2 linked regions of the Drosophila melanogaster genome follow. The protein of the gene in region 2 interacts with the protein of the main gene of each other region in a pairwise test. Each region holds a gene or a part of one and is shown on either strand. Other genes may lie near its edges. The genes, in order: CG9626 and Syn2.

Region 1 (8,000 bases), on a different chromosome or scaffold from region 2:
CTCTCTCCGAAAGAGGAGTGACTGGACGTTCCGGCGCAAGAATCTGAGGTGGCGGAAACTCGAACTGCTTGGCCTTGGTTGGAGTATTGGGATGTTTACGCTGGATTCGTGGCAGAGTGTTATCTTGTTTATTGGGTAGAGTTAGCGGAACAGGCGACGGTGGCGGAGGATGCACCCGGGAGAAACTGGGTCCTGAGCTAGTCTTGGCTATCTTGTGCTCAATCTTGTTGCTCGCATTTGCACTGTGTGACTTGTGCAAAGAGTTTTTCTTGTAAAGATGAGCTTTCCGAGGCGGAACTGGAGGATTGTTTAACTCCTGATGTTTCTTGGACAATCTCTCGATGCTATCACTAGCCAGTGGCGGTCGCACAAATAGGATTCCCCGCCGGAAGTGTTCGCTACTTTGACATTTCCGGAGTTCTTCTTTGCTGGGCGGTTGTGTTATACGGTCCAAACTAATGGACTTGTACAGATTAAGGGGCTTGAGAGGGCATCTTGACTTCCCAGGTCTGTCCACCTTTTCCGATTTCTCCTCCGTGGGACTGTCCAGCTCCTTTTCTATCACAGCTAGGCCTTCCGCGGCGCTTGGTTTTGGGATAGTAGTGAAGAGTTTCCGTTTGGTCTTCACGAAGACATTGGCATTAGTGTTGTATGTTCGATTGTGTTCCGGCAGAGGAGGAGGAATAAAGGCTCCCAGCTTTGTGGGTGGAGTAACTATTGAGGAAGGAGTGGTTGAAGTGAGAGGAGTGGTGGATGCGGAGGAAGATAAAGATGGATCATGTAAAACGAGGTGCACTGGAGCAGGTGCCACGCACTGACTCTGCTCAATGAGTTCGCCTGGCTTAACCTTCAGTGACCCGTAGACTATGTCTTCTCTGGCAGTAGCCACATCATGTTCATTTGTCGTCGAGCTCAACCGGAAGTCATCATCCAAGGAACGCTGCTTCAGCCGGAAATTCTTGCGGCGCAATCGGCGCGGTGTCTCCAAAACTGAGTGGGTATCCGCATCGCTGCTGTCGCTCTCCGTCTTGCTGTTCTGCCGGGAACCCATTTTTCGCAGTCGCAGCAGTTTTTTCTTAGCAGAAGCACTTGCACTGGTTGCACCATTATTGGCAATCGGATTGGCATTCACGGTGGGCAAACTGGATCGGCACAAAGTGCCCGTTGTGGTGCTAGTCTCCGTTTCATGCTCCATCGGTGAAGCTGCACTAGCACTGTTGTCATCCTGAGCCAATCGATCCCGGCTGGAGTTGTCGCAGGTGGCATAGGCCGAACTGGAGTCCAACTGCTGCCCATCCTCGCTGGTGATGTTAATATCCGGCACTAAGTCTCGGGGATACCGGTTGCTTCCACCCTCTACAAAGTCATTAAGATTCGAATAAGGTACGGTTCGGTTAAGTGGAAGAAATTCTTACGTATACTCAGCTTAAGGCACTGCAGGCATTCATACAGTCCTTGGAGTTCCTCCAGATACTCCAGCGTTCGCTCTTGCATGGTTTCTTGGCAGCAGGCTTCGTCCAAAGGCGATTTTTGGCTCTAAAATGATAAGTATTTAGCAAACAAATTGGTAAACAAATAACTCAAATTTTTAATTGTCATCTCACCAGCTCGGTTAGTCGTCCCAGTTCGCTCTGGACATCGGATATGGCGTTGAGCACGCCCGCCCTCATCAGGTTGTTGGAGTAGTACGGATAAATGCTACGAATGCTAAGTAATGCGGCCTGGCAGTCCCGCATGGACGGGTGTTCTAGCAGATCGGGCGAAGCATTCTTCAGTTGGCCAAACAGCTCATCGGCACGTTTCAGTGCTCCCAGCAAGGGGGCCAGATTTGTGTGGGACTCAAAGCTCTGGACGCGACGCGAATTGCTGGAGGGAATGAGAAGCCATCAGTTTACGTAGGATCGGGTATTCCAAATGGCACCTACACATAGTCGTTACACTGCACCTCCTCGTACTTATATATGGGCGTCTGCTGCTCCACCAGAGTGTGAGCGGTGACCAGTGGAGAGGCGGTGTCATGAATGTGCTCCTCCACCTCCACCATCACAGCCTCCGGCTCGTCGTACTTTTTGAACTCGTGATCGGTGAGGGCGTCGGTGTCCTCGACTTCCTTCAGATCGTTGACGTCGTTTAGAGAAAGGGATGAAGCCTGCTGGGAGATGGCCTGGGCCAGGTTGCAGTTGGGTGACACACTGTCAAGGGACAGTGAACGGCTGAGAGTCGGGGAGTGATCCGCTGCCACTATAGAAAAGTTAAGAATTAACTTCAGATCGATCAGATAGTTCCATACCCACCTTTATTGCACTCCTTGTTGATGCGCCTCACATCTATGGGACAGTAACCAGGATGCAGCAGGGCAAACGTGGATGCTTCCGGCCCGATTCCCCTAGCTTTCTCCCACTCGTAAAGCTTCCTAGTGAACTTCCTCGAGATGCCCTCAAACTTCATCACCTCTCCATCCGAAGTCTTGACCTCAATTTTCTTGGTATGATCCGGTACCACAATGGCCTTTAGGCGGGACAATCTATCCAAATATTCAAGGTTTAGTCTTCAGAAGAGAAAGATTTTCGGCTGTCTACAAACTTCTCTTTCTCGTGCGGCCTATGCTTGTACCATCGATCGTCATCGGATCCCCTTCTTGTACTCTGACTGTGCTTGGATCCTCGCTTCAGGGAGTCATTGTCCGAGGTAGTGCCGCCACCAGGAGCGCACTTCAACCGATTCCACTGCTCTGTGGGCAAGGCATGTTGTTAAATATGACTATAAAAGGAAAAACCGTGCCAAATACCAACCCAACTTCTTCTGAAACTTCTCGGGCAGATCCTTCTGATCAGGCAAAGCGCACAATCCTTGGCCCTCCAACTTCACTTGACCCATGCTCCACAGATTCCAGTCAATCTTGGGCTTAACATCCCCACTTTGGCTCTTGGCCGTGGGACTTGCTGCTGGTTCTGATGAGGTGATTGATCCTGCAGAGCAATTTTGCTGCTTGGCCCGCCACTTGGTTAGCTTCTTTTTGAACTGTGGGGTAAGATTCTGCTCCAGCTGGGCTGTGGACATGAGTTCGTTGTGCAACAGTTGGGTGGGCGAGTGCTCCTCGCTGCTGCGCTTTCCACTACCAGCTCCTCCTCCGGCTGCTCCACTTCCCAGTTTGACACCTAAAATGGTGGTTTAGCATTGATTAGAGGCTTATTGGATATGTCTTCAATGTTTTTGAGGATCCCTACTGCGGTTGCTGGCGCTGGAACGCTCTAACTCGAGTTGCTTGCCCTTAAACTCTGAATCTAGTTTGAGTACGAGAAGTTGATAATGTTGAAATATCTCGTCATCGGCGTTCTGTGGGAAATTCTTACAGTTTGGCGTAGTGGGTTCCGAGAAATCACCACTGGATAGATCCTCGCTCTCTGCAAAATACCACAAGGTTAAAGAAGTTTCGTTATGACAAAGGGATTGTGGAGTGAAACCATCCCCTCTTGGACCTACCAAATTCACCAAAGAAATCCGATTGCCTGGAAGGACTGCTGGGCACCGAGGAGGTCCCCGGCGAATGGACACGACGCATGCGCGAATCCTTGGGACTCTTGAGCGGAGAGTGCAGTTGTGGCAGATCACTATACATCTGGTTCACCTGGTTGAGATTCAGTGGACTCGGTGGCACCTTTTGTCGACGACTGCTGGTAGCCTTAATCTCCGCCACATGATCCTCTGGCAGGACCTCAAAGTCGGAGAAGGCTTTCGACCTTCGCAATGACTTGCTGGATGATGATTTGATTGGTAGTGGCGGAGCTGAAGATTTAATATTGTCCAGGCGTTCGTCAGTAGCGGATTTTCGTAACTCCACCTCAAAGTTGGAGTCGCGGGATTCGCAGCGGGTATCACTTTTAGAGGAATCACGACCTGGAAAGGATTGACATTACTCTAACGAGCTGTAAATTAATTATTATTAAGAGAATTACGATAATTCTGTCGGGTGGTGGCCTCAAGATCATCCATGGAGCTGGCCGAACTGATGGTACCAGGTGTCCCACCCGTATCACTCATAATATGACCAGAGGAGGAGCTGATGATGCTGTCCGCGGAACTGCTGCCGGCTGCCGCGCTAATGGGCACCTTGAGGTATCTGAAAAATAAATAAGCAATAGAATAACGCCAATGAGAGTAACAATCCGCAATACAAACCTCTCCACCTCATGGTTGAGTGGCATCAAGACGTGGTTTTCCAGAGCACCTGGTCCCGAAGGCGGCACATTTGCCCGCTCCCACTTGAAGGCGGCCTTGACCTTGGTCCACTTGGACACCTTGGCCTTGTTGTCGCTGTAGGTGCTTTGACGCCTCAGGATATATGGTCGCGAGGAGCTCAGCTTTAGACTGGGACGATCGCCCTTCATGAACACGTTTATGTCCTCCTCCATCATGGACTTGCTACGCTCGCGAATACTGTATAACAAAGTGTAATTTTGTTTTTGAATTATATTCATACGCAAAAAATCATAATCACCGTTTAAACTTTCCCTGCTTGAAGGGCGGCACCACCTCAGTGCCCATCAGAGATTCTAGCCAGGTAAGGGAGTGCTCCAGATCGAACTGATGGTCAGTATTGTTGGAGCGAGGCGGCTTGGTGGGTGGATGCTGATTGGCAACTTGACTAGTGGAAGGAACATCGTCATCATCAACAACTGTCAGCTCAGCTTCCCGTTCACCCGCCTCGTTGTCGGTGATGGTGGCTAGTCGGTGCTCCAGAAATCCCTCCAGCAAAGCGTACGTGCGAGTCAGCTCATCCATGGCTTCAATTGCCGAGTTGAGGCGAGTTTTCAGCGGTTCGATGGTGCCCCGATCCGCCCGATAGGGCTGGCACTTGGAGCAAGAGTGCTTACCCAGTTCGCAAACGGGCAGATCCTTGGCCTCTCTCCTCTCGAATTTAGGGGAGGCGGAGAGATTGCGGGCACGGGAGGCCACCGCCGGAAACTGGAAAATGTTCTCTTCCGTGCGACCGCACATCGCCGGCGGAGCGGTGGGCAAGGACTCATAGTGCAGGACATTCTGCCGGGATCGCGTTCGTCGGGGTTTTGGCGGTGGATGCGGCGGCGGAGGTGGCTTGTCCCACTCCATCTCGATATCGCTCAATAGGAACTTGTTTGTTTACTCTGCCCGATTCGCCACTAAAAACGCACACAAGAAAAGAATATCCGAGAATTATCAAAATCGGGAGATTGTTTATAGAAGAGGAAGACCAATGTGGAACGTCCGCCGCCAAGCACACACACACACACAAACACACACACACATACAAACGAGTCCTAAAGTGTAACGATTAAGTCCGCGAAATGTAAACAATATTTTCGAAAATCCCATTTCAGCACGTTTTCCCACATGTGCGAAAGTTTTGAATCTTTCCCAAAAATATGCACGCGTGTGGTCACTTAACCGAAACGGAGAACCGATTCGGAATGCACTGTGTTATTGTGTTTTGGGTCTTGATTACGCTTTTGGCTCAACAACTGGATGCCATCGTGCGTCGGGAGGCCCGCCGAAGAACAAATAAAAGCACGCCGCAAACCAAACTATTTATAAAACGCTGACACTCTTTTGTTTGCCTCCCCATGGCGATCGCACTACGCCACCACACACACCCAATGTGCCGCTGGCCCCCTTCTCGATTCCCCATCGCCAAGTGCGCAACACTTCCTTTATTCCACTTTTAGGTTACACGCAATTAATATTTCCAATTTATGCGAAAGTGCACGCACTCGCGAAAGAAATGTGCTGGATGGATGGATGGACGGACGTGGACCGGTGGATCAGTGGGTGGGTGGGTGAATGGGTGGATGGCTGGTGCTGGGATCAGATCATGTGTATCTGAAGTCGGCGGCCCCCATTACTTTCGCCACTTTCCGAACGTTATATCGAAACTGTTGCCACACATTGAATACACACATTTTTCTTTTCTTCGCTCGACTTTTCTTCCTGGCTGCGCTTCTTTTGTTTAATGGGTTTATGCGCAAGGTTGTCGGTCTATTTTTGGTGTTTTGTTGAAAGGAAAAACAATAACAAATTATTACTTGCACTTTTCCTACTTGCACACTCGGTCGTCCGACCCGCCGCGGAATTTTCATCGGCCACTCGCTCGCTGTCTCTTTCTCTCTCCCTCACGGATACTCGCGATTTTCCGCGACTTTGAAATTCCGTATACGTCCGTTCCGTTCGTCGGTCGAAGCTATTCTGAGCGGTACGGCGCTTTTGAACACATCGGAAAAGTTGAAAATTTTGAGATTTATTTATAGAGAGAACGGGCAGTGTTTTGATCTCTTTGCTGATTTCCAAAGGTCTCTTTGAATATAATTAATCAATGGGTTAATCAGCCCTATAGTGGATTTCTTATTGAAAAATAATAATTAAAATTCAATCACTATGTAATTAAATGTATTTTTACAATTTATGAGATAAAAATTGGGTGTACAGGTTCATACCCAATTTCTAACTCATAAATTATTATTCGAATAAACGCACCTCAAAATAGTTTTTGAAAAAGCCCGTTAAAAACATTGACTTCAATTCGTGCTATTACTATTAGCCAAGTTTACAACCATGGTTCGTGGTCAGGCTTTTATCAGCTACAGTGTGGTAAACAGTAGTTTTCCGACGAAGAGTTGGCAGTTCTGGCCGGCGAGGTTATGCAAAGCGAGAGGTTTGCATTCCAGTAAATAGTAATATTTCTGAAAGAAATGCAGTCCATTCTGTCTTCAATGAGGGCACTGGCCCTGCGCCAGAGCACGGTGGAGCCCCTCCGCCTGCTGCATCTTTCCGCCGTGAGCGAGGCGGCCCGTAAAGGAACTCGGGAGAAGGCCCGCAAGAAGAAAGTCAAGGTGGAAGTGAAGAAGGTTGGATTCATCCCGCACAACCAGCGCAACAAGAAGTAGGTTGTCAGCTCGATGTCCATAACACCGGATTTACTATCGTTCTTCTCTAGAATCAATGTGAAACGGGCGGACAAACATGTGGATGACTCCTGGAAACAGGTGCCCAAAGATGACTGCTATGTGGGGCGCTACTACCGCTGGCCAGTGTACTCGGTGCAGGAAGCTATCCAGTGCCATCGGGAGACGCATCATCCCAGCATGTACAACGTACCCAATGCTCCCCTCAATTTGGATATTGAACTCAACATGCAGGCGGAGAAGATCACACGTTTTGTGGATAACTTCCAGCGCATGGCCATGATTCCACACAAGTTTGACCACGGCGAGGAGCGGAAGATCATAGTTTTCACCAAGGGAAATGTGAGTGCAGCTTCTTAGTACAAAATCATAAAATAACATCTTGAAATTTATTTCCAGAATGAAGTCCTGGAGGCCAGGGAAGCTGGCGCCTCGCTAGTCGGCGGCGTGGAGCTCATTAAGGATATTACCAGCGGCGAGCTGCTGCTCTCCGACTACCAGTACGTCATTGCCCATCCGAATATACTGGCCGAGCTGGTGGCCCTGCGAGGCCTGATGAAACGCAAGTTCCCAAATCCAAAGAGCGAGACGCTGGGCACCAACCTGGCCGAGATGATCGTCAAATTCTCCAGCGGCATTAGTTACAGTGCAGCCAAGGATGAGTACCAGCAAAACTTTGGCCTGATCACCGCCAGTGTGGGCACTTTGGACATGGATGTCCAGAAGCTTGAGGAGAACATCAAGTTCCTACTGCAGGATATTAACACTATGAGGCCCAAGCGCGAGGGACGTTTCATTACACGTGTCCTGCTGAAGAGCCCGCCAAGCAGTGAGCAGCTGAAAATCGATCCCTTTGTCTACGTTCCAGAGATGTGGGACAAGAGCACGGCGAAGGTGAAAAGGGATGGGGCCAAGAAGCAGACAGAGCCGGCGGAACCCCAAGAAGCAGTTGCCTCCAATTAGTTAAAACAGAAGCCTATGTATTTTTGTTGATGGATTGTTTGTGCATACTTTAAACTTACATCTCCTAGAGTCCTAAACAGTCTACTTTACTTTGGCAGCTTT
Region 2 (4,853 bases):
TGCTGCTGCTTCTGCTGCTCTTTTCGTGGCTGTGGCACAGCTGATTGTCCAAGGCCTCACGCCGAACATGTTGGCTTGTTTGGTTTGAAGCTAAGGACCTGCACTCCTGGACACCTCCCCACCGAAAAAAAAACCAGAGTACTCTGGGCCTAGCTTCACGGTTTTACGGCTCTGAAGCACGCACCCAAAAGGGCAGCGCAGCGTGCACACGTAATAATAAAGCCATAATCAAAGGTAACCCGGGACAACGGAGCGTATGCGTGTTCCGCCAAGTCGGTGGCCTGACCAGCAGCTAATTGCTACGACACGCGGAATGCCAAGGATTCAGGAATTCATGGTCCAAATATTCGACACTTTTTGCACTCTGCGAAACTCTTGCAGGCAATATAGAACATTCTGGGTTGATAGATCTATTTTTGTATAGATTTTGGAATGTATAATTTACCTTAATTATAATTATTTTATGTTGCTTCAGTAAAATAATTCCGTTTTTATATATTTATTTTTATTATATTTTCAAAAACTCATTGTTGATGACACGTAAGCTTAGGCCTAAACATTTTATTATGATTTTATTCCTTTCATAATTTCATTAAAAATATATAATAATTTTTTTAATTAACAATAATAACAATTGAATTCACTTTGACCATGAATCAGATCGCAGAAAACGTTTAAAGCGAAAGTGTTTCCCCTCGAATTCAGAATTTCTCAATCTCAGATGGCAATTTAGCTGGCACCATATGCACATATTTGGCGCTCAAATCGAACCCTCCCCCCCCCCCCTTCAAGAACTCTCAACCCCCCCTAGGCAAAACACCTATTTATGGAGCACAAGTGGTTATCCAAAATACATATTCCACCCTCCCATTCCTGAGGAGCAGTTGCGGCCACACTTCGGCACTCAGCACCAGGGAAAACCACAAACAACGTCTGCAGATGGGGCACACTTCAATGTGTTTTCACTCATATCTAGTTTTCCGGTAGCATATTTATTTTCCACTTTAATGGAAAACATATGCCGTGGCATCAGTTCGTAGAAAACGCACTTGGCCAAGGTATGCCCATGTATCGTTTCCATCTAGATATGCCTTCTATTACATTTTGCGGCAGCCTGATTACGCTTAATTGTTTCTAATTGCATGTGTAATTTAATTAAGGCAATTGCACAGTTCACCTTGAACTATCGGCTCATCGGTGGGCCAGTGTGCAAACGTAATTCGATATGCGATGATTGCAATTGCGTTGCTTTCGCCTTACTGCTGTCTGCTCAGTGGAAAAATAAAATGGCAATCGATAAAGGCCACGGAGCCGGCTTCCCGATTTGATTGCAGTTGTTTCGCAGTCCATTGCCATGGCCACGATTATGTTTAAAAATAAAAAAAAAAAAACGAAAAGTTCTCAGAAATCGCTTGATTACACTGGGCCAACTTGATTGGCGGCCATCCGATTTGGTAACAAGGGTAGACATCCCGTTATTGCCACAAATCAGGCAACATTTCAACCTTTTCAGACCCTTTGCTCTAAATTATTCATTCCATTCAATCAATCAACGCATTTAATTTAACGCCTCTAGAAATATTGATTGAGCTTTAAGTATAGTCAAGATATCTTGAAGATACATTTTGTTATTATTATAGCAAACTAATCTCTAGAAATCTCTAGAGTTCCTGGATTTTTATTTTATTTTGGTTCATAATTCATTTTTAAATCCTATCACTTTAAGCACGTTTCCCATTTAAGATCATAAATCACACTCAAGATCCCTCTTCTCTGAATGATTTCAGGAATTATGAAGCTCTCTGACACCATGGCCACGCCTATAGAAGAAAAACTCGACCAAAACCTGAAGGTAACGCAAAGATTCTTCATATTTATAAATGTATATCTATTAAATATTAAATTATTAATATTTTAGGTGCGAACTGGAATGGTGCACGTGAGCGATGGCAAGAGCAGACCAGAACCGCTTCGACTTAATCTTACCATGGAGTTGCTTTCGCTGCAGAAGCTGGAAGTGGTAACACCAAGTAGTTGTCACCCCAATGGACCACCCATGGAATCAAAGGTATATATATATTTTCCCCTATAACATTTAACTTATTTATGAAATAATTCATCTTTCAGGAACGTATGGTTCAAATTACGCGCCAAAAACAAGGCGGCCTAGGACTGAGCATAAAAGGTGGCGCCGAGCATAAACTACCCATTTTGATATCGCGTATCTATAAGGATCAGGCTGCGGACATAACGGGCCAACTATTTGTTGGCGATGCCATCATCAAGGTCAACGGAGAATACATCACGGCATGTCCTCACGATGATGCCGTCAATATATTGAGAAACGCTGGCGATATTGTTGTGCTCACTGTTAAGCATTATCGCGCAGCCACGCCTTTCCTTCAGAAACAACGTGAGTAGCAGTGGGCTAGCATAGCACGATAAATAAGGATTGAATAACCCTCCTCAACATCCCAGTGACCAAGGACACACCCGACTCGGACAACGATGTCACATGTGCCGAACTGAAGGCTGACGAGGGCTACAAGTCATCCGTCAATAGTGGAACCATCAGTCGCAGTTGTAGTCGCCCCATGTCAATTTGCTCGGAGCCCGAGAAGCGCTGGACCGACGTGGTTGCCGGTGAGCCTTATTTATAAATAGGTTAACAAATTGTTCATTGATTATGTCCTAAGATAACAGAAATGTATCTCAAATCTTACGTACAGAAATGCTAATCAATTCATATATTTACACCTTGCAGTACCTCTAATGATGGCATATGTGACGAGGTACATCTATGGCACCGACAAGCTGCGACAAAATGCCTTCGAAGTTCGCGGTCTGAATGGAATTTCCACAGGTGTCATACACTGTGACGAACTGGCCATACTTAGTCAGTGGCTGAAATTGATAACAGACAATGTTGTGGGCCTGACGCATTTACAGGTAGGAGAGTTAAAGGCATATATATTCATAATTTAATCAATTGTGTATCCAATAGATGAAGCTATATAATAGAAACTTTGCTGTGGGCGAGCGCATTGAGTACATGGGCTGGGTGAATGAAGGTGTCATTAACAACAATATATCGTGGCAGAGCTACAAGCCCAGGTTTCTACTGCTCAAAGGCACTGAAGTGATGCTCTTTGAAACGCCACCAGTGAGTAGCAATCAATTGCGATAAGTTTCGATTATCTTAACTAATTTTTTCTATTAAATTATTAGCTAAATGTGGCTGGCATTAGTAAGGCTTTGGTGGTCTACAAGGTCTACCAGACCATGTTCCGCATTGTCAAGGAATCGGAGACCGTGGATAGTCGTCAGCATTGTTTCCTGCTGCAAAGTTCGGGTCATGAACCGCGCTATTTGAGCGTGGAAACCCGTCAGGAGCTTTTGAGAATCGAAAACAGCTGGAATGCGGCCATTGTGACAAGTGTCATCAAACTGGGCGTAGGTTTACACTTATATCGCATACCTTCACTCTCTAATTATATGTTAATTTTCCTCAGCGTAAGACCTTTGCCGTGTCGCATCATGGAAAAAGTGGTGGACTCACGCTGGACTGGCAAGCTGGTTTTTCATTAACCGAAGGAGCCGAATCCGCCACAGTTTGGCAGTATAAATTCTCCCAGCTGAGGGGCTCCAGTGATGATGGTAAATCGAAGCTGAAGTTGCATTTCCAGGATCACGATAGCCGTGCAATAGAAACCAAGGTAAGCTAAAGATACAAGTATACCATAATTTCATAATATATAAAAAGTTTAATATCCTGCAGGAGCTGGAATGCCAAGTCCTGCAAAGTCTGCTGTTCTGCATGCACGCGTTTCTTACGGCCAAGGTGGCATCGGTGGATCCAGCATTTTTGAGCTCAATCCAGCAGACTTAAATCAAAAATATTATGAGGGACAAGAATTCGCATGGACTCACACTCAAAATGATATATAATGAATATTCGTAAAGTGCATAGCAAATAATTCGAATATGAATGTTGGACTATAGGTATCGCATACATGATTGTCCGCTTGGAGTTATTATAAACGAGTACGCGCATATACATATGTATGTTGATATCTGAATGATTGTAATTGTAATTGGATACTGATATGGGTATATTTATAGCGCTGATAAAACTGAAAGTGAAATCTCTTGGTGCATTATAGTAAATTTTAAGCATACATAAGGCAATTACTTTAGGCATTTTTCCTATTACGTAGACTTGGTACTTACAAATTGACAACAAATTTATATTGTTTATAATCGATCGTTTCCGAATGTAGCCTTTAAAGTTAAATTAACCCTTAACCCTACCTACCTAACTTACGGATTGTTAAAACCACATAGGTCTGCCGATTCTGAATGTCAGAGAAATCTAATCGCTTTTTGCTATTAGCCGAAAAGATTATAATGAGTGGCCTTAAAGGCTTTAACCCGTGCTGTATCCTCTAGACATATATTTCTTCGGCGGTTTAACGAAAATTGATTGAAATATAAAAACCGTGTTTTGTGTGCGCTCTAATGAAAATTTAATTTTCGAAAAACGAATGCTTTAAGATCGGATTAATTGTTATTTTCTACTGAAGTAATAGCTGATGTCATAATAGATATATATAAAAATACCTTATAAAATAATATATATATATATAACATCCACCGAACAAATCTCAATGCACAGACGTAACATGAACTAGATTTTATAACTGTTATACATTTACTCAGAGCCAGTTAAGTGATTTCATCAGACACTCACTTAGGTCATTTGTCAATTCAGAATGTGTCTTTCGGTGGCAAGATCGTATTTGTTGCTAGCATATTGCATTGTACGTATTGATTTTAGGCGTTATTGCACAACA

What was found.
Region 1: the proteins of Syn2 (region 2) and CG9626 interact in a two-hybrid assay, tested with the Drosophila melanogaster proteins (one large-scale study listed by BioGRID).

What each region holds. Positions count from the first base shown.
Region 1 is NT_033777.3:8,294,790-8,302,789, forward strand, and holds the start of CG9626 (uncharacterized protein), read right to left. Parts: upstream 6,190-8,000; 5' UTR 6,075-6,189; exon of another isoform or gene 6,060-6,074; intron 5,955-6,059; exon of another isoform or gene 5,935-5,954; intron 5,160-5,934; 5' UTR 5,110-5,159; coding exon 4,499-5,109; intron 4,438-4,498; coding exon 4,180-4,437; intron 4,121-4,179; coding exon 3,957-4,120; intron 3,898-3,956; coding exon 3,484-3,897; intron 3,405-3,483; coding exon 3,228-3,404; intron 3,159-3,227; coding exon 2,793-3,158; intron 2,732-2,792; coding exon 2,584-2,731; intron 2,525-2,583; coding exon 2,295-2,524; intron 2,242-2,294; coding exon 1,926-2,241; intron 1,867-1,925; coding exon 1,605-1,866; intron 1,537-1,604; coding exon 1,416-1,536; intron 1,357-1,415; coding exon 1-1,356. Other genes in the region: mRpL1 (mitochondrial ribosomal protein L1), read left to right, coding at 6,723-6,913, 6,968-7,277, 7,335-7,898.
Region 2 is NT_033778.4:16,552,841-16,557,693, forward strand, and holds Syn2 (Syntrophin-like 2), read left to right. Parts: upstream 1-1,746; 5' UTR 1,747-1,777; coding exon 1,778-1,852; intron 1,853-1,918; coding exon 1,919-2,068; intron 2,069-2,127; coding exon 2,128-2,413; intron 2,414-2,478; coding exon 2,479-2,643; intron 2,644-2,764; coding exon 2,765-2,949; intron 2,950-3,004; coding exon 3,005-3,163; intron 3,164-3,228; coding exon 3,229-3,453; intron 3,454-3,512; coding exon 3,513-3,716; intron 3,717-3,778; coding exon 3,779-3,889; 3' UTR 3,890-4,186; downstream 4,187-4,853.